Caenorhabditis elegans: one gene and its partners. The protein of the gene in region 3 interacts with the protein of the main gene of each other region in a pairwise test. Each region holds a gene or a part of one and is shown on either strand. Other genes may lie near its edges.

Region 1 (9,546 bases), on a different chromosome or scaffold from region 3:
ACTCTCACTCATTCATTCTATTTTTAAAAAAATGGTTCTAACTTGTTGTGCTCGGCGCATTCTTCTCAACGAAAAAGTAACATTTGTTGTTTTGCTTTCTTTTTCTTTTTTTTTTATTCAACTACTTCTCCAACTTTTCCCTCTTTTTTATTCTACTTCTTGAAGCTTGAAGATGCGACAGCAACAAAAAAAGAAAAGAAACATAGTTCTTCTGCCGCCTGGTACGCCTCAATGCCTCTTCTACTTCCCACCTCGTTTCTCTTTTCGTTTCGTTTTCTCGTCTTGAACAATCAGAATCAGCTGACGGGCGACAAAATGGTGGAAGAAGAAGAAAAAAGAGAAGTCATCGTCTTCCAATCGTTAAAGTTCTTTTTCTTTTGGGTTTGGTTTCTGAATTTGACATCAATCGAACCTGTTATTAGGGTGTGTATGTTACTGTACGACACGATAAGCGAGACTAAAAAGGTGACCAGTTGCTTTTCGAACCACTAGTTAGTCACATTATGAAACCTGCGCTTATCGATAAAAATGCAAAAAAGTTAGGGCTTCCATAATAGGCATAAGGTTTCTAGGCCTGGCGCCTGCCTGAAACCTATCGGCCCTTGGCCTCTTTTCTGAATTTTTGCCTGAATTTACAAATATTCTTTAAAAACGATTACAGACGTTTTGGCGCCAGCACAAAAGCCCTGAAATAAATATATATTCTTTTGAAACTTAGACTAGTTAGATTTTAATCTTCAAAATTTTGTTCATTTACTCCAAAAAAAGCGCAATGCTAACAAATTATATATATATATATATATATATATATATATATATATATATATATATATATATATATATATATTTCAAACAAAGATATTAGTTTAACTGCCCGGTAGCTTTCGCTAGAGAGAATCTGAGGTTTACCTCTAAGCCGGATCAGAGATTCATATTTCATAATTTTTTGATTTTCCGGAGCAATAGTCTTTGAATTGAAAAAATCACGTAGCACCTACTAGAGCGTAGGCATAAAGCAGATATTAATTTTTAGGGGGAATATCGGCAATAGGGAAATTTGTTGAAGTTGTACTAAAAGGACCGAATAGCATGGTAAAACTTTGATTTTTTTTTTGAAATCTTGGGTTCGAACCTGCAGCAGCAAACTCAAAAAGTTCACATTTTTGGAAAATTTGGCAATTTACCAAAACATTGACAAAAAGTTTTGAGAAATTTTTTTTGAAAATGTACAGTTTTTTTTTAAATGGTAGATTAGCCTAATTGTAAGTAAATTCAGATTAAATTCCAGCTGAAGATACACTCTAAACTCAATTTTGAAACCCCTCTCTATTAAAAAAACACTCTAAACTCAATTTTGAAACCCCTCTCTATTAAAAAAAAATAACAGTTTACCTTACTACCAACAACAATTCAACACATTGACCTAGATACACAGATACAAATAATAAACAAAACACTCAAATCTGGCTAACAAATCAATGACGCGTAACACCTTCCACCAACAGCCATGCGCGCTCATAAATTTCATAGAAACTCTGTTTCCAAAGGTCTAGATTTTCCAATGTACTACACCGACGACGACATCTGCCACTATAATTGGTGACCGACCATCGTCCCTCCCTTCATCTCATTTTGCTTCTTTCCCTCACACCCTATATTCTCTGTGTACATGTTTTCCCTTCTCTACGCCTTCATCGAACCACCCCAGTTGGGTGCTTTACTGGGGGGCAATCTAACACCCGAAGACACTCACATCATGCATTCGAATTTGGTCTAAATTTTAATGGAACGCTTGGTGATTCTATTGCAAGACTTTTGATCATCTCTAGAAATTTAAATTTTTTAAACAATAATTTCCCTTAGGCGTCCCACTTTGACAGTTTGTATCTCGATCGCCGTTGGCTTCATCAAAAATGTTTCAACTATGAAAACTTAGAGAAATATTTGATACACATTTTCACTCTTGAAAATGTTTTGATAAAGCTATCGCCAATTGAAATATGGCCTATCAAAGTAGAGCGAAGGTGGTTCTAGACTAATAGGACAAATCTTGCAGATTTTTTTAGTAAGCTTGATCAAGCCTAATTTAAAAGTAGTCATGCAATTTATGGCCTGAAAAGTGAACATTTTCTTGCAACTTGGAAATTCTGTTTACATTTGACGCAATGTGACTTTGCAATAATTTAATTTGGAAATTTGAAAGTTTCCACTTGACTGTTTCCTCTCTCAATGTAACACCTCATTTCTTGGAAATGTACAAAATTATTTGAGAAGATGATGATCAGATGATAGAAACAATACAAGTCAAAAAAAGCGAGAAGAAAATTGGAAAAAAGCCTGTGTTTCCTTTCGATTTCCTTCCATCTCAATCACATGACGATGACCCTCTAGCTGCTGGCTGCTGTTGGCTGCCCCCCGCTTCCTGCATCTCTGCTCTCTTTTCCTCGTTCTCCTCCTCTTCGTTTCATAGTCCTGAGGTTTTCTGAGACTTGTACTCAAAAATAGACACATTGTGTGGTTGACTTACTGCTGTTGCTTCTCCTGCTGCCGGAGCAAAACGAGATAGAGCACCAGACAGTTTGTCGCTGGTTTCGTCGCCGTTCCCCCTCTTTTTCTCTGGGTGGCTCTTTTCTTGTACCGCCCGTTTATTTTTCTACCTACGTTTCTGCACCTCTTGCCGTTTTATCAATAATCTTCTAACTTTGTGCATAATATTTTTCATTTATTTGTATATTTGCAGGCTCAGCGCAGTCTCCCTCTTCCTCCTCTCCTGAAACCTGCTTCATGTCCGTCCAAGACAAGGATGTCGGATTTGAACTCAAGTAAGTTTTCGACGAAAAAACTTTCAGCACACATAGAATTCGTTTTTAAAATACTTTCCAATTGTATATTTTTTGAGGTTTTAGTAACAACTAGTTTATAAACCTAGACACTAAAACAACTCGATCTGTATAGAATTTTATAGTTTCAAAAGTATACGGCCATAAAATGAACGTTTTTTGTCGTGCCACATAGAATGTCTGCCGCCTCAAAAATAGTTATAAATTCTGCATAAAGCATGTGAGACATCGTGTCGGTGTCACTCGTGACCACTTTTCGTTGAGAAAATTGTTGCTGCTGTATTTTCGTTGCCATTTCCATTTCCGATGAACACATAGGACTGGATTCACTCGAATCTGAATCTAAATCTAAATCGCCCGTTGATTCTTTGATTCTATTAGTGAGTAGGAAAACTTTTGTGGGGGGGGGGGGGGGGGGGGGAGTTACTGTAGAAAAGATCAATGTTCTAGACTATAGGGCTCCGACGAGTGAAAACTTCCCTGAAACGACTTTGATAACGTTGTATTTCGATAGCATCTTTGTTTCGAACAAAGTTTTTTGGTTTTCTGTTATCTTATCTACTGTAGGAGGACGATGTGTACTTTGAGCAGATGTTTGAGTAACTGTTACAGGTGGGAAAGAACATCTGTCTCGATGGTAGTCACCTTGGGAACTTGAACACTTTGTAGGGATTAGAGGGATCTAGACATTTCATGTGGTTTGATCTGGTTCAAACAATCAAACGTAGTCTGTAGGCAGACATAACCTGAATTTTTTTTTTTGAAAAATCTTTGCTGACCAACTTTCTGCCCTAGCCTTGATGCATTGTGGTGCCCTTATTTGGGCAACGTAACCATGAATCAAGAAGTTTTGTTTCCTGATCTTAGACATGTTTTTTTTTTCTCCGATCAACATAGTTCAGTTGTGGTTGTTTGTCCCTGACGAATATATTATTCAAAACTCGGATACTCAGAGAAGCAAAGCGATCAAGCACGTGTTCTCTATCTCCCACTCACAGTTCCTCACTACAACTTTCACATTTTTCCTCGTGATGATGTCATCACCGGTGCCACAAGCGGTCGCCAAACGTGTAGTCACGTGGCACCCAAAAACATGAATGTCTCGTGTATAAATAGAGCCAGGCGAAGGCCGGCGCTCGGTTACTTAGACTTTTTCAACTATAGACTTTGACAAAACAATCGACTATTATGTTTAATAGTGTTTCACTGTATTTGGCCACTACTAATCCGATGATGCCATCTACCAGTAGGCAATGTCGGTAAGATCTTTGCCGCTTTGGAGTTGATTTAAGAATAGGTAATTAAAAATGTGTCAAAACGTATTATGATCACTACTCTACTAAATCTATAAACTAATAAACTGATTGACATAAAAGCTTATTTTCAGCGAAACGGAATTCCCGGAATTGAGTGGCAAACTGACGGGCAGGAAGGAGAAGGGCAGACGTAGCGCGGTGGCCAACCGCCATGCACGCCAGGCCGCCAAGGCTGGCGCATTCCTCGTCAAGACCATCGACGATCCGAACCACGTGCTCGGAAAGAAGCGCAAGGAGCGCGTCGCTTCGGAAAGCCACGATGGCATCGCCTCGAACGTCCTGTACTCAATGAATAAGAACAAACGTTGGGAGGCGTTGGAGGCTGAGACAACGTGGGAGACGACGGGCGTTGATGGAAGATCGTCAATGCCTGTGCAGATTGTCGAACGTGTCTTAACTGCTAAAGGTAGGATACTGTAAAAGTTTTCGGTCTATGAAGCCTCATCACACGTTATCTCTTCAATTTTTATAGCCATTATGATGTTTTATTCGCTTCATTTTTTCTTCCTAGTGCGCCGCGAGAACAATTCATAAAAAAACGACTAGATTCTATTGCATGCCAAAGTCAAAGTACACGAAAAATGAATAGTTGATCGAAAAACACATGACACTGCTTTGACTCTCCTCCCGATAAGCAATAACTTTTCAGTGTGTATGTGTGTGCTGGCTCGTTCTTTTGGGAAACGGAGGGGGTGACTGGTGGTGTCAGGAGTTGTCGATCAAATGATCTGGTAGAGACAATTGGAATCACAAGACTTTTCCGTTGGTGGAATTATTTATTAGGACAAGATGTACTTGATTATATTGAGACATTTTGAATCCAAAACACTACACGTGCATTGAAAATTTGTTCCTGATTGGTTTGAAATTTTTGAGATTAAAAAAAATCAGCTTTTACAAATAATTAAATTAAGTAATTCTAACTGTTAGGATACCACAAAAAACACATTTTTTAAATGTTTAAGGTAAACGAATATCAACTTTTGTTCTTATCATTTTTGAGATACAAACTCAAAGTATTGCAGAAATGATATACCCTTTTTTTGTTTTAAAGGAGTATGGTCAGTTTGAATTTTGTCAAAACAAACTTACAATAATCTAACACTTGACTAAAACACTGTCCAATTATTTAAAAATATTTTTCAAAATTTTCAGGCAAAGTTTTGGTAAATTGCCAAATTTTTCAAAAGCTTTTTGAGTAATTTTGAGGATTTGTTTTTTATTTTCATGTGAAATTTGGTCATTTTAGCAAAATAGGAACTCTTCCAAACCATTCTCCCTTGAGTGTACTCTACTTTTAAAAAGTTGCAACGATCTAGATTTTTCGGAATGAGATTTCAAAACATGATTTTTTTGTTTAATTTGGACTTGATCTATCCAGAAAACTTGGAAACAAACTACAATCATTCATCTTCTTTTGATTCTCTCCCGTATAAATAAATATTCGTAAGAGCGCGTACAATGTCCCCTACAACAAGTGCATGTTCTTTACTGCCTTCTCCCAATACAAAAGAGTCACATGAGTGGCTCGTGCAATTTCACAATTCCCATTCAAATTGTTCAATATTTTCAGACACGATCGACAATGTGGTGTCATTGACGGAAATTGACAAAAATGGAGAAATTGTGCGACACGAGACCGCTGGCGGTAAAGGAGCCAATCTTCAAACACTTCTTGTCACAGGCACCACAAATACTAAGAAAACACGCAAAGCACGGAAAGAATCAGAAGCTTCGACGACTTCCGAATGCTCCCAAACATCAGAAGTTTCTTTGGATGAAAACGGAGAGCCGAAGGTTCAATACACAATCTATAAACCTCATAAGAATCACAAAGTGCTTGCTGGCAAGCTTTTCAATAGAAATTACAACACACGGAAGGCAGGAAAGACTCGTCAAAATCTGAAGCGAGTGGATCGTGATGATATGTCAACATCCATTGATGATATGCATCAGAGTGTTCACATTGACGACGCATACATCTACAAACCGAGTCGGGATTTCAGATTCTGCCTTGGCGACTACATTACCCCTGAATCTTGCACCATAAAACCAGTTTTCGTTCGACGCTCGAGCATTGAGAGTGTTCAGCCATCAGAAGCCGGAGTCATCACTTCTGATGAAACCGAAGACGAGTCAAGTGGACCTTTGAACGTTGTGGACATTTCCCAAGTGCTCCGTGCTCCACATACTTTCGAATGGACTCTTTTGGATATTTCCACGTGGGATACTTTGGAGGATGAAGTGGACGAGTTGAAAGCTGACAATAAAGTATACGTTCAGTGGCTTGATGCAGAACGTACACGTCTTTCCATTGATGCTTCTCGTCTTGTCCTCGGAGAAAAACAACCACATGGAGCTTCGATTCTGATGATTGTTGTCGAACGAGCGATCCTTTCAAAGAAAGAACATCTAAAAGTACTTCTCAACTCTGATATTGCTCCATCCGGACCATTCTCTTATCAGATTCTTAGAGGTCTTTTGAAGCATGCAGCCAATCTTCAAGAAGTTGTTGCAATTCTCTCAAAGCTGGTTGCTGAATGGAAAGAAGGAGGTGTCGCTGCCCCAGAATGCATCGATGTTCATCGTTCCCAAAAGAGTCGATTCGAATTGAAACGCGATTTCTTCCAACCAGCCTTCAATAGTTCAATGTTGGCAACTTCTGCGCCTGTAATGAGTGCTGAGAAAATGGCTTCCATTCTTCGTGACGAAGCAATGAGCAACGAAGAGCCAGAAGAACGATTTGAACGAATCGACTTTGAAACTGATGATTTCGACTTTGAAGATGCCGATGATGAGAAAGATCCAGTCATTGAGAAGCTGAAGTGTGCAACTTGCGATTGCACCAAGAATTCAGAACTCTTCGAATTGGATGACAGCTGGCAATGCCGTGATTGTCTCTGCAAGCACATCGTTGATCAAATCCGCGCCAAATGTATCCCATTGGAGATTCCATTTGTTCTTGGAGATGGACAATCGGCATATGATATCCTTCCAGCTATCATTCCACTTCCACTTTTGAACTTTTACACCAAGATCGCTGCTACTGAATCATTGGCCAACGTCGATGGTGGTGATATAGGAGAATGTCCATCATGTAAACAACTCGTCCATATCGACCACAACACCAATGAATTCAACACTTCTTCATGTTACTCATGTGGAATCCACTGGTGTCCAAAGTGTGAACGTGAACCTCACTTCCCTATGACTTGCTCCGCATTCGCGACATGGATCGGAAAATGGGAGAAAGAATATGAGCTTCATGTTCTCGAAAAGACTGAATATCTGAAACGCATCCAATGCGCGTGCGGATACACGATGGAGGTTCGAGATCAGGCATCTCGTGCCGAGTGTGGAGGATGTGGACGTGTCTTCTGTCCACAAAATCTTGCTATGCTCGAAGTTGCGTACTGGTCTCGTGATGAAATGACTGGAGCAGCAGTCAGAAAATTGGAGACATCGGCTGTCTTGCCGGCTCGTTGCGTCGAGTCAATTGTTGCCTCCAAGCAAATCAAGAAAGAATTCTCGGATGTATGTGGTGAAGCCCGTCAACTTCGTTTCTCTACATCCAAGAAAACCGAGTTTGAGAAAGCAGTTCGCAAACTCAAAAGTACCTACGCTGGCGTAGAAAAACTTCGCGATATCCGTAAGACGGTAAGTTCCGCATCTCTTGCAAGTCTTATAATTTTTTTTTTCTTATCACAGGTATTGACCATCGTCGAAAACGGACTCGCCTATGTATATATCGAGAAGAAACAAGAGGCATTGGCTTTGAAGCCACAACTCAGTAAGCTCATGAAACAGTGGCTTGCTATCGAAGCGGAAATTCAGCATCCAAGGTAATCCAGATACTCAGAAATTTTGAAGCAACTTTATAAATTTTTAAGAATGAAGGTTTCTCAGCTCACATTGAGACTTCCGATTAAACCCTAACGATTTGAAAAAGAATCTTTGAAATTGGTCACTACAAAAATTTTATCTGAAGAGGAGCACTTTGAGTTTGAAAAGTCATTATAAAAATATTTAAGTGCACATTTTCACTACTTTATCTCGTAAAATTGCTCCGAGTGTGGATTTTCTCAGACACGAAAATCAACAGTGAGAGAAATTTTAAGAGCCTCTAAAATTGTGAAATTATGCACTGGAGAATTTTTAGATTCTAGATTTAGTTTTAGATGTTTTTTTTTCTAGATTTAGATTCTTTAGAACTTTTTTCTAAAAGTTTCCCTCTGCTGCTGAATTTATGTAGTGGCCTATTTCAAACGCCCTCTTTCAATGGACCTAGGTTGCATTCGGAAGTATAAAAGAACTCAATATTATTTTGAAAAACCTTCTGAATCGAAGATAGCTTACTTACTTTATTTTTTAAAAAATTAATAATTTTCAGATGCGATTTCCCAACAAGATATGAAGCAATTGAGAAGAACCTCTCAAAAGTTCTGGAGCAACTCAAACAAATCAATGCCTAATTGTAGACTTCAGTGTAAATAAGATCAAGATGTACACTTTTTCATCTCTATCTGACTCCCCTAATCATACAACATTTATCATATTTCATACTGCATTTTCCCCCTCAAAATCTGAAACTAATCTTCATTTTTCTCAACTACCCATATTTCAATTGTAAGTCTGTGTCTAGCGTTTGTATGTCTTTTGCAGCTGAGCTTTTTTTGTAAATAGTGTACACAAAACATCTGAAAAAGAAAAACTCAAACCCCCCAAAAACACTTGTAAAATTGTCCAATTCACAAAAACAATATGTCGAAATTTATGATTTCGAACTAAAAAAAATTGTGTATATCTATTCCATTTGTATCTATTCACTTTTCATGTTCATATATTTTCTTTTTCATCTTCCTTTTTTCGCCTTCTGAATTTCTGCTGAAAATTCAAAAACCAATCTTCCATATGTGCTGGATCACGTATTTCCTTTCTCCTATAGGAATTGGCCAATTTTCATTTAATTCTAGGTTTTCCCTTTTTAGGCCCCTAATTTCTAATTTCCATCACCTCCTCCATCAAGAACGCAGGCGTTCAATTCGTTCAATCCCGAAAAATTTGCTTGCGAAGCTGCAAAAATTTGTGAAAATTGCAACAAAAAAATCCACAAAACCCAACTAATCGTTTGTCTCAAAAGTGTCACATTAATGTGAAGTGAAGACAATCAAAAAAAAATTGAAAATACCTCGTTTTCTATGTACTCAACTTGCCCTTATCCTATCTAATATGCCTAGATCGTGTTTTTTTTGTATTCAATTTTGCTTTAGTGTATATGTTTTCTGCCAGATCAATATGTATTTTCTCTGAACAAGTAACTAGCAATAAAAAATTTTGAAAGGGCAAAAATGTTCACTTGGTTTTTTTTTGGTTTTCGAAAGAAGAAAAGG
Region 2 (5,760 bases), on a different chromosome or scaffold from region 3:
TAGATCTTATAACTCACATGAAAAACGTTCAAAAAAATATAATTAAACTCCAACTAGATTCTGGAACATTTTGCAAAATACCATAAAGTCGCTGTAATCCATACGCTGAACCCATGCTTGCAAGCAGTATCCATCATGATTCAGAAGTGCAAGAGCGCTCTAATGTTAATCAGTTTGAATTTTTTGTTTGGAATTTTTAAAGCCGATATTGTTTTCTCAACCCCTAAAACAAAGGCAATTTTCAAGTTTTGAACTTTTTCAAAATATTTGTATTAGAGCGATCTTGCAGCACTCACAAATCCCCAATCTGCAACAATGCAAATTTAAAATTATTCAAATTTTCAGATTCTATCACTGGTTCACTTGTTCATACGACAAAACTTAGCACGGCTTCATCCAGACGTACTTCAATGCCAATTCAAGAGAAAAAACGATCATCATCGTGTGCTCCACTGGTAGCCAAGAACAGGGCTCTAAGCACTGTCGAAACAATTTATCAACCACTTTTGAATGGGAATCGAAAAGGAGATTTTTGATTTTATTGGTTTTTAAAATTTATATTCTTGTTTTTGAATTATTGTTTTTTTTTAATTCAATTTTCTGATTCTCGACTAACACGGGTAAATTGAAACAATGATGATCTCAAAAAACTTGGATATTGTTTATTATTACTTGATTCAATAAAATGATCAATATTTTTGATATATGGGATACCTGTTATAAATTGAGAGAGCACTCATATTTACAGAAGATAAAGCAGTGGAGGGGATGGGGGAAGGGGGACGAACTTATGAAAAGTGAATCACATTTTGACATGTTTTTTGAAATTATTCGACCCTTTAGGAGTTAGAGGACACAAGTAGAGGATGATAGGCGGTGTGGGGAAGCTGATGAACATTTTGGAACAAAAAACTAGAGATTAGTACAATCTACGAAATGGTCTTTGTCAAAGAGACGGCAGAATCGCTCCAATTTTGGACGCATTTTTTCGTTGATCATGCTCATTGCGGACATTCTGAAAAAAAAAACATTGAATTAAAATTTTGATTGAAAACTGACTACTTTCCTGCCTATTTCGCCTCGCTTACTGCCGTACCTACTGCCAAAAATGTGCATCAGAATAGGTTATATTCCAACATTTAACGCAATTGCGTAGAAGTACCAAACTTTAGAGATTGCCATCTTGCGGCGATCGTACGTTCATTAGAATTCACAATCTTCAAGACTATGCTATTCTTTCAAAAAAAGGTTAAATTTCTTAACTGCCATAGAAGCGATATATCCACTTTTAAAGATATTTTTGTTGATATAAATCCGCAGTTAACAGACTCAACGTGTCATATTTCATGTGAAAATTTAACCAAATTGATGTTTTGGCTTACTATTAATCTCGTTTCAAACTTTTGTAGAATGTTACATACCTGACAACGAAATTATTGCATCCGTCCCGAGTAACTTGCCATCTCCAATCCACATCAATTTTTAGTGGTGAAAATGCTTCGAGTTGGGTTTTCCTACTGTCGTAGCCAGTAAGACCTAGTCGTAGAAATTTTGTTTTCTAGAATTAAAAATATTATTAAAAGCTGAATGCATTGAATTACCTGCAGTTGACCCGGAATCTGCACATAGGTGAACGCATTTCTCCAAACTGGCATCTCGGTCCAGTTTTGGGCTCGAGTAGCGTAATCCACATTGGTTCCTCCATCGCAAACTCCATGTTCGGTACATGTTGATAAGTGCCATCTGATTGCAACTTTATCCCAATGTTTACATCTTAATACTTCGTTTCCTTTCCAAGAATATGTTCTGCTTCCAATTAGTTCCCAGTCATTGATCTGAAAAATTTCAATATTTTTGCTAGATTTTGAAAATTTCAAGTTAGCCGGGTCTTTCCCGGTTTGAGAGTAATTTTTAATCATATGAAACTATCAAATTAATTCCATGTCACATGACAACTCTAAATGTTTTCCCCTCATTTTTTGCCATCCATCCCGCATCCTGCTTCCTCGCACCGAAAGCACGATTGGCATGATGTAATGGCATCTCGGTTTCCTGCGTCTCTTCAGGTAACCTCACTATTTCACTCATTGAGAAGTTAGAAGATATTGTGTAATACAACTGAAGAGAACTGCTCTTCTTTCGTTTTCCAACATCCTCCTGCCTATCTCACGCATTTATTCGTTGTGGCGAGTCAAAACGTTTTGTTGATTATTTTTGTTTGTCAGTGATTTTGACTTTAGCTGACTGTTTTTTTAAATTTTAACGTGAAACTGTAGTTTTTCGAAATTTTTCCCACTGTTCAGATGTCCGAATACCTTGGATGGCATAACCGTAAGCCGGCCGCTGGAAGTAGAGGAAATTCAAGTTTTGATCGAGATATTGTGCCCGGTGGGGCTCACACAAAGAGCTACGAGAGCTATGTCAAGAATATTTTTCATCCAACGAATCGTCTCAGAGCAAAAGTAATGTTTTGGAACAGTTTTTATTTTTCTATAGTTCGATGTACTTTCAATTAAAATTATGAAGGCCCCTTGTACGTTTCTGCTTTTAAATTGGAATAAGTGGCATTTCAACAAAAAAACGCCCGTTAATTTCTTGGCTCTGCGACTCATTAAAGATTTATTCAAATAACTATTGTGATTTGTGGAACCCAGAAAAATCCGCAGAAAATCACCACCATAATCCTCAGTTGTTTTTTTTTAATTTAAAAATTGGACGTTTTGTGCGCAAACTTTTATAAAAGCCCAACATGGCCAAATATTAAAAAAAAATTAAAAAAATTTTCTGTCAAACTTTTCGAACGATTAGGTTTGCGAACGATTTCTTGCAATGCTGTAAGTTCAAAAACCTACATAAAACATAATCAAAACATGAAACTAGCAATTTTGGTTGACTTCGAAAACTATTATAGGAGAACAGTGAGCAATCGTGAGTTGCTTTTATTTTAAAATAAATTCTAAGCACTCAATTTTGTTTCCATGGTTAACAATATTTCTATTTTAGGATAAGGATCAACTGGTGCGAGACCACGGATTGTCAGCCACTAGCATGTTGAGAGCTGAACGTGAGTTCGGAAGAAGTGCTCTTGACGACAAGTACGATAGAGAGCACTTCTTCGAGAAAATGCCTCTCGAGAGTCTCTACGCCGAGTTGGGGCTCAAAAATCCAGCGGTAACTTTTTTAAACTTGAAATTTAAATAAGTGTATTTTTCAGGCTTCGAACTACCGTAGTTTCCAAGTATATGAGCCAAAATCATCGTCAGAATATTTTGCGGCAAGTTACGAGGCTGAACGTGAAAGACGAAAGAAGGATTTGGAACGGGAATTGGCTTCATATGATAAGGAAGATTACGAGGACTTTACCGGAGAGCCAAAGAAAAACTTGTATTCGAGCATTTCAAGCTATAGACCAGTAAGTTTAAAAGACTTTTAAAATTTTTTGAATTTCAAAATTTCAGCCACTGAGCAGCTACAAGTCTCGCGAAGATGAGGAATATGAAAAAAACAATAGAAAAACGCTTATTGATTATAAGGATTTTGACAGGTAGGCAATTTTTAGCAATTGAATAAAGTTTGATTTGTGCCAATTTTAATACAAGATTGGATTTTTTTTTCAAAAAAAATGCTGAACAGCTATTCAAAATATCCCATTCTTTCTCACTTCGACCTTACAAAAAAGGAAGGAAAAAAAACTAGTCTATATTTTCAGTTAAAAAAATTTCCGTTAAACCAAAATTCTTCCAGCTCCCCACTCTCCCCATACCTCTACCAATCCCACCCTTACGTTCGCAGTCAAGACTCAAGAATCATCGGATCCAACTTTGTGCAGCTAACTTCCCGCCCGAAAGACAAATTTATCTCAAAAATTGAGGAGACCTTGGCTATGGTCCGTGATATGCCAAGATATTAATAAAATTTTCTTATGAATTCTTTTTTTTTCAAATTAAAAAAAAAAAGTGTTTTCTTACTCCGATTCTGAAAATTCTATGTACTTCCGGTGTTGTATGATTTGAGGAAATATATGAATGAATAAACATTGAATATAGTCTTTAAATTTTGAAACTTTTTAATATGGGAAAAAGTGATTTTTGAATTAAAAACACTTAAATTTTAAAAAATATATATAGTTGGGATACACAAGTGTTAAAGCTTTTATTTATCTCGACCTATTCATAGCAGCTAAGAGAATTGCTGATATTGAGGAATTGTTTTTTTTTTATTTTGGAAATTATCAAAATGTTCTAGTTTTTCTATCACGAGTTTTCTATCCATTTTAATTATTGGAAAAATTCAGGTTTACTGGATATGTTTTTTTCAGAATTTGTAGTACAGCAACAATATTTTCCAAACTAAAAAAAATTCTTCTAACAATTCCACAGTTTTTAGATAGGCTGGCCAAGCTCAATTTATTGTTCCGATCGCAGAGCACAAGACGGTCCACGAAGTTTGATTTTTTTTTGCTTATTGCAGAAGTATTTTTTTATGTACATTTTTTTTGAAATAACAACTCACTTCTAGATGATTTTGCCACGTGGCGGTTGGTAAAAGAAGTATTATGACTGCAACGACGTTCAAAGAATTTCGAAGCTGGCTCCGCATCATGGCATAGCGAGACGGCTATAAGTGTATGTTTTTGCTGTAAAAATAATTTATAAATTCTGTTGGAATGCCCTCCATTGGTAGGAGTGCTGCTGCTAATGCGAATCAACAAGATGAAGATATTCAATAGAGAATGGCACGCAAACTGACAAGCGATGAAGGTAATAAGTCATTGCGGCGGCACATGCATACTTTTTTTGACATGCATCCATTTTTCATGCCCCCACTTGTTGAAAGGGGCAAAAAATGGAGAATGAGGGGAAGACAAGTAGAAGGGGAAGAGGACAAAAAAGAACCTACAGGAGAAACAGAAAATTTATGAATGAGTGAGGAAGACGCTGACAAACATTTGAAAACTGAGGATGGTGACCATTCAAGTGGTTGAGACGATAATTGGTGCAGTTTTTCAAGAACTGTATTGTGAAATCAAAGTGGTATTTTGAAAATTTCTCAATTATTGTAATTATCAAACTTTGAAAGCACACATAATTTGTTTTGAATTTTATTTTTTAATCTATTTCTGAAATTTTCTGAAATTTTGAACTACCGTTCTCTTCTCGCGGCGCTATCAGAAAAATGGCTAATTATCTTTTACTATGATATCTTTTACTTTTTTATCTTTTACTCATCCATTTTTTTCGAAATTATCTTTTACTCATTTACTCATTTTTTTTCAAATTTATTTTTTTTATCTTTTACTCATTTACTCATTTTTTCCATTTTTTGCTAAAAATCAGTTTTTCGGGTAAAAAAGTTGTCAGGAAGCCGATTTGGAACCTAAATTTGGCCAAATTTCTTTAGTTAATGATAAGGTTATCGTTATCTATTAGATAAAGTACTCCGACCACCTATCCGGTCTTCACTAGTCATATATCTCGATATGTATATTCAGGAAAAATTATTGAGAAAACTGATGGAGTCCTTTCTAAAATGCCTTTAATTGATGGAATTAACAGTTTTTATCGCTCATCTACTCAAGTTTTCCAATTTTAATTTTTTATCTTTTACTCATCATTTTGAAAAAAAATTATCTTTTACTCATTTACTCATTTTTTTGAAATTTTACCAAAAAAAGAGTTTTTCGTGTAAAGAAATATTTTCAAGCCGATTTGGTTGATCAAACTGCTCAGTTAACGTTGGTTAGTGATGTTCTATAGATAA
Region 3 (5,543 bases):
AATGAAATTTTCGGGATGAGAAGGGTCACTGAACCCACAGGGCCTTGCTTGACATGTGGCTGAAAAAAAGGAAACTCGGCCAGCCTCCGGGAAAACCAAAAATTACAAAAAAATGTCAAATTACAAATACCTTTACAAAATGTGAGTTTCGACATTCAAAGGCACACGCCAATTATTCCATTAGATCCCAGCAGAGATCGCGGTGGGACCCAAAATAATGTGTGTACCTTCAAACGCAAAAACAGAATGTTGACAAAAAATTTTTTTTTTGAACTTCCTGGGCAAGGTAAGAAGGGGTACAGTAACTTTCAATTGAACAATGTAATTAGATTAAAGGCGTATAGTCTATGTTGGAATTGTCTAAAGTTAAAATAGATATTATACATTTTAATTTTAAGAAAACCAATCGTGCCAAGACCCAAAGGGCAAAGAGTATCAAAATGCAAGAAGTGGCCTTTAAGGCAGTGGCCGACCAAAAGTGTCTCTAAACAATAGGCGAAAAGTGATAAAAACTAGGAGAAAAGCAGGATAGAATTTCCTTTTTGATTCGAAAAGAGATAGTCAACACAATGGTCTCCCTCCGGTCGAGCCCATCGCAGAGCATCAAATACTGTTTTGGACACCTTTCTACGGACTGAGACGGGCGGCGCGCACAACCTTTTGTTTGTTAGTTTCGGGTTGATAGAAATGGAAATGAGAATGCGAAATTTACGATTCATCACTTTGATATTATATTGATAGAACGGATGCGGGATGTGTATGCTCAATCAGCCTTGACATTTTGAACTTGCACAAATATTGAGAAATTTGAACCTGATTTATCTATGGAGCGCAGTTGGTATCATGAATTTGAATTTCATTTAGAGATATCCTTGATCACTCGTGGGTATCTCGAATCGATCTGATCAGAAGTTTGCTGGTTCTTAGCGGGTACCATGTGCCGAAATTTTTTTTTGGAGATGAAAAACGAAAAGCGAAAAAGAAAAAGATAAATCTACAGCCTTTCCACTTTTTCGAATTTCTATAGATTTTCCAGAAATTTTCTTGTTTCCTATATTTTCTCGAACTTCCAAGATATTTCCGGGGCGTTCCAAAATCGTCTTTATTAAAAAAAAAACGTTACAGTACTACTACAGTACTCTTTATGCCTTTGGAAGTTAAAAACTAGTTTTAAACATCATTCTACAGTACCACAACATTACAGTAGCCTTTTTGTTTGACCAAATTAAACCCAAATATTCGAATATTTTCCTCAAAGGCTTAAAAAATTTTTTTTTAAAGACGCATAAACGCGGGCCCATCTAAATACACTATTTTAAAATTTTAAATAAGACATAGAAAATCTGAATCTGAAAACTTTTTCGGTTATCTGAAAATAAACTCGTAATGGAAGTTTTTTTGAACCAACTGTTTTTTCTATTTTGCATACGCAAAATACTTTATTAAACGAGTTCGATATCCGGATATATCCGGGTTTGCGTTCAAATTTTAAATTCGCGCTAGAATTTTGCCGCGTCGCGGTCGCCCGCGACGCAACAAACGACAATGAAAATTAAATTTTCAGCGGCGCCGGCGCCAATTTTCTTCGATGTTTCGATGATTTTTCTTCGTTTTCTTGGTGTTTTCTGTTTTATTAAAACTTTGGACAACCAATAGGATATCCTATGCCATTTTTTCTTCACTAATTCAGCTTTTTTTTCGATTTTGCGAGCGTTTTTATACACAAATTTGTTTTCTTTCCATATTTTTTCTTTATGTTTACAGAATCATTTCAATTTATTACTTTCAGCTCACCTCTCGTCGTCATCATGTCCCACTTGAACTACGAAACTCGTCTTCCTCTCGGTCAAGCCACCATCGATCATTTCATGGGACTCCCGGCTCATCCGTCGAAGTGCCAAGCGACATACGTCTGGATTGATGGAACCGGCGAACAACTCCGTGCAAAGACTCGTACGTTCAATTTAAAGCCTCAATACTTGTCAGAGTATCCAATCTGGAACTATGATGGCTCTTCAACTGGCCAAGCTGAAGGATTGAATTCTGATCGCTATTTGAGGCCTGTTGCAGTTTTCCCAGACCCATTTCTTCAAGGACACAATGTGCTTGTGATGTGCGAAACTCTGGACGAAACTATGAAGCCAACAGGTATTTTATAATTTTAAAGTTCTTCCTTGAATCTTTCATTATTTCCAGCAACAAACCATCGTCAAAATTGCGCTGCCATCATGAAGAAAGTAGCCGAGCATCATCCATGGTTTGGAATGGAGCAAGAATATCTGATTGTCGACAGAGATGAACATCCACTCGGGTGGCCAAAGCATGGATATCCAGCTCCACAAGGAAAATATTACTGTGGAGTTGGAGCGGATCGCGCTTTTGGACGGGAAGTGGTGGAGACACACTACCGTGCCTGTCTTCACGCTGGAATCAACATCTTCGGCACCAACGCGGAAGTCACTCCAGGACAATGGGAGTTCCAGATCGGAACCTGTGAAGGTATCGATATGGGTGATCAACTCTGGATGGCAAGATACATTTTGCATAGGTAATAAACTTTCAAAAAATACAAAATCCAATATTATTTTTCAGAGTCGCTGAACAATTTGGAGTGTGCGTTTCATTGGATCCCAAGCCAAAGGTTACCATGGGAGACTGGAACGGTGCCGGTTGTCATACCAACTTCTCGACAATTGAAATGCGAAGACCAAACGGTCTGAACGCCATTTTCGAAGCTATGAAAGGCCTCGAAAGAACTCATTCGGAAGCCATGTCGGTTTACGATCCAAATGGAGGACGGGACAATCTTCGACGCCTCACCGGTCGCCACGAGACTAGTCAAGCTGACAAGTTCTCCTGGGGAATCGCCAATCGTGCGTGCTCAATTCGGATTCCACGTCAAGTCGCTGACGAGACGAAGGTCAGTTTAAATTTAATCAATGTTCCAAAACAAGATTTTCAAATTTTTAGGGCTATCTCGAAGACCGTCGTCCATCATCCAACTGCGATCCTTACCTGGTGACAGCAATGATTGTGAAGAGCTGCCTGCTCAGCGACTGACCCAACGACTAACAAATTCATGTACATTAGAAACAATTATTACCACTTGTATTCTGAACAATGATCTCACATTTCGATTGTATATTTCTAGATTGTTGTATTATAATTATTTTTGCATCTAGACACCCCCCGAATAAACTAACGCATGATCTTTCTGAATTTTTAGCTTTCAATTGGCAGTGTACAAAAATGGTAAATTTGGAAACTCTTTTTCATTTTGAGAAAGTAGAAACTTTTTGTTAGAACATGAAAATTTGAAGATGAACAAGGAATTAGGTTTCCAAAGGGAAAGAGACAGATAAAATATATTCAGATGGGAATTTTATAGTTTGAGGAGGACGGCCTGCTTTGGTGGAAGTACCAGAGGCGATTCGACAAAGTTGTGATGATCTCGAACTCTGTAGTCGGTGACGTTGGCGGTAACAACAGAGATCTGTAATTTTAAAATTTACACAAAATACAAAGAATATTAAATCTCACCTCTGCATTCAAAAGATCCTTGTTTGATGGAATCAATTTTGAAGCGGGCTCAATCGAGAAATCGATCTTCTGCTCCTTATCTCCAAAGTTCAGAGCCACAATGAACGTGGATCCAGTTGCAGTGTTATTGACAGCCTGCACGTAGCGAGAGAACAGAATCACGTCTTCGTTGATCAGCTCATCACGAACGGTTTCTCCAACAATCAGAGCCTCGTCGCGTTGGCGAAGCTTTGCAAGCTTACGGTAGATCTTGAGAGCAGAGTTTTCAGTTTCAAATTGAGTCTATAAAAACATAAAACTATTATTTTTCAAATCAATATTAAACCCTACATTATAATTGTCCAACTCCAATTTATCATCGCTTTCCGGGAAGAAAATCGGAGCATCGTTTCCACTGAATCCGTGATGATCTTTTCCAGCTGGATACCACTGCATTACACCCATTTGCTTGAACTCTCCGTTCTTGCTCATCGCGTCTTTCAGACCGTATTCTTGTCCATAATACACAGAATTCGCTCCGGGAAGTGTCAATTGAAGGAATGAGAGAAGATGGGCGGTGGCTGATTCGAAACGAGACGCCAGACGAGAAGCTTCAGAGTTTGAGAATTGCCAGTGTGGAGTGTACTTGGCCACCTGGAAAATAATGAAACAATTGCAAAAGTCTTAGCGGGTTCTAGTCTATAGACTTAGATCTAAAAAAAATCAATTAAATTTTTAGTTTTCTACCCAACTACCACAAACACAGTTCTAATATCTAGGAAACTTACCGGTTTCCTATACTTTTCGACCTGAACTCTCAGATTTTAAGTGAAAGTCGAAATAAAATTACCTCATGTCTTTGATAAGCCGCATTCAAAGCGTCATGAACACATTTTGCGACGTGTGGCTGACATTTCTTCTCGTCCAAATTGGCGAAAGAGTTGTCAATAACGTAGTGAAGAAGTCCGGTCTCTGTGGCCTTCACGTGCAAGTCTTCAACGTCTTTTAGTGAGGAGAAGAGGACACTAAAATATTCTCTTGATTTTTTTTCAAATTTTAACAAGAAAAACCATACATCTTCTTATCTACCAACTCATCCCTTGATTCAACATATATTTGGACAGATTTCGTGAGCTCCTCGAGCACTTTAACGGCTTCATCATGCTGAAATTTCGAATATAATTTGTATGTTTCTTTAGGAAGTTGGCTTACATTTGGTCTTCCTTTAGAGTCAACAGCCAATTGACTAATATGATCGATATGGAATCCGTCGACTCCTAGATCCAAGAATTTTTGAATAGCTCCATTGATTGTCGATTTGACGTCAGCGTTCTTCCAGTTCAACACTGGATTCTGGCTTGATGGGTAGCCAAGATACCTGAATTAAAATTAGATTTAGAACAAGAATAATTAATTGAAATAGTTCGGCGTCTCATACTTAATATTATTAGCTCCATGGAATGGGTAGAAGTTGGACTCGTTGAATCCAGGATCTGTCGGTTTTGCGATAACGAATTTCGACTCGTCACGACTCTCGAACCATGGGTGGGAGAGATCAATGGTAGACACAGGGAGATCCATCACAAGATACATTGCTCTATTATGAACTGTGTCGATAAGCTCCTTAAACTGCTCCTCAGTTCCGAATCTCTCATCGACGGAATTGTGATCTACGACATCGTACGAGTTGAAGTACTCATCCTTATGAATCTTGATGACCGGTGTTGGATAGACAGTGGTGACTCCGATCTTCCGGAGGAAATCGATTTTCTGTGAGATTCCAGCGAAATCTCCGACTCCGTCGTTGTCCGAATCGTAGAATGTTGCGGTGAGCAGCTGAAAAGCTTCTTTGTGTTATTTAATTTTCCTTTGATCTTTCACATTCTCAAGCCGTATATTCTAAGGATTTTGACGGATTTCGAATAATAATGAACCTCCGAAAGAGATGAATAGGAAAAGAGGGGGGAAATGATTAATTGTCGAGATAAACAGTTGACAGGCGAGTGAACGAGTGAACGAGGTCA

The links.
Region 1: the proteins of gln-5 (region 3) and F26F12.3 interact in a two-hybrid assay, tested with the Caenorhabditis elegans proteins (one large-scale study listed by BioGRID).
Region 2: the proteins of gln-5 (region 3) and F40A3.6 interact in a two-hybrid assay, tested with the Caenorhabditis elegans proteins (one large-scale study listed by BioGRID).

Annotation. Positions count from the first base shown.
Region 1 is NC_003283.11:5,838,914-5,848,459, reverse strand, and holds F26F12.3 (IBR domain-containing protein), read left to right. Parts: upstream 1-2,740; 5' UTR 2,741-2,784; coding exon 2,785-2,822; intron 2,823-2,982; exon of another isoform or gene 2,983-3,130; intron 3,131-3,833; exon of another isoform or gene 3,834-3,971; intron 3,972-3,974; exon of another isoform or gene 3,975-4,137; intron 4,138-4,227; coding exon 4,228-4,562; intron 4,563-4,805; exon of another isoform or gene 4,806-5,729; coding exon 5,730-7,813; intron 7,814-7,864; coding exon 7,865-7,998; intron 7,999-8,546; coding exon 8,547-8,628; 3' UTR 8,629-9,503; downstream 9,504-9,546.
Region 2 is NC_003283.11:7,890,406-7,896,165, reverse strand, and holds F40A3.6 (uncharacterized protein), read left to right. Parts: upstream 1-2,303; coding exon 2,304-2,462; intron 2,463-3,003; coding exon 3,004-3,171; intron 3,172-3,214; coding exon 3,215-3,412; intron 3,413-3,458; coding exon 3,459-3,544; intron 3,545-3,744; coding exon 3,745-3,910; 3' UTR 3,911-4,048; downstream 4,049-5,760. Other genes in the region: F40A3.7 (G-protein coupled receptors family 1 profile domain-containing protein), read left to right, coding at 346-536; F40A3.1 (Conserved secreted protein), read right to left, coding at 913-1,015, 1,422-1,558, 1,602-1,835, 4,513-4,599.
Region 3 is NC_003282.8:17,269,899-17,275,441, reverse strand, and holds gln-5 (glutamine synthetase), read left to right. Parts: upstream 1-1,789; 5' UTR 1,790-1,808; coding exon 1,809-2,148; intron 2,149-2,196; coding exon 2,197-2,548; intron 2,549-2,592; coding exon 2,593-2,920; intron 2,921-2,970; coding exon 2,971-3,060; 3' UTR 3,061-3,211; downstream 3,212-5,543. Other genes in the region: atgp-1 (alpha-glucosidase), read right to left, coding at 3,383-3,493, 3,541-3,822, 3,871-4,173, 4,370-4,544, 4,595-4,683, 4,732-4,897, 4,958-5,355.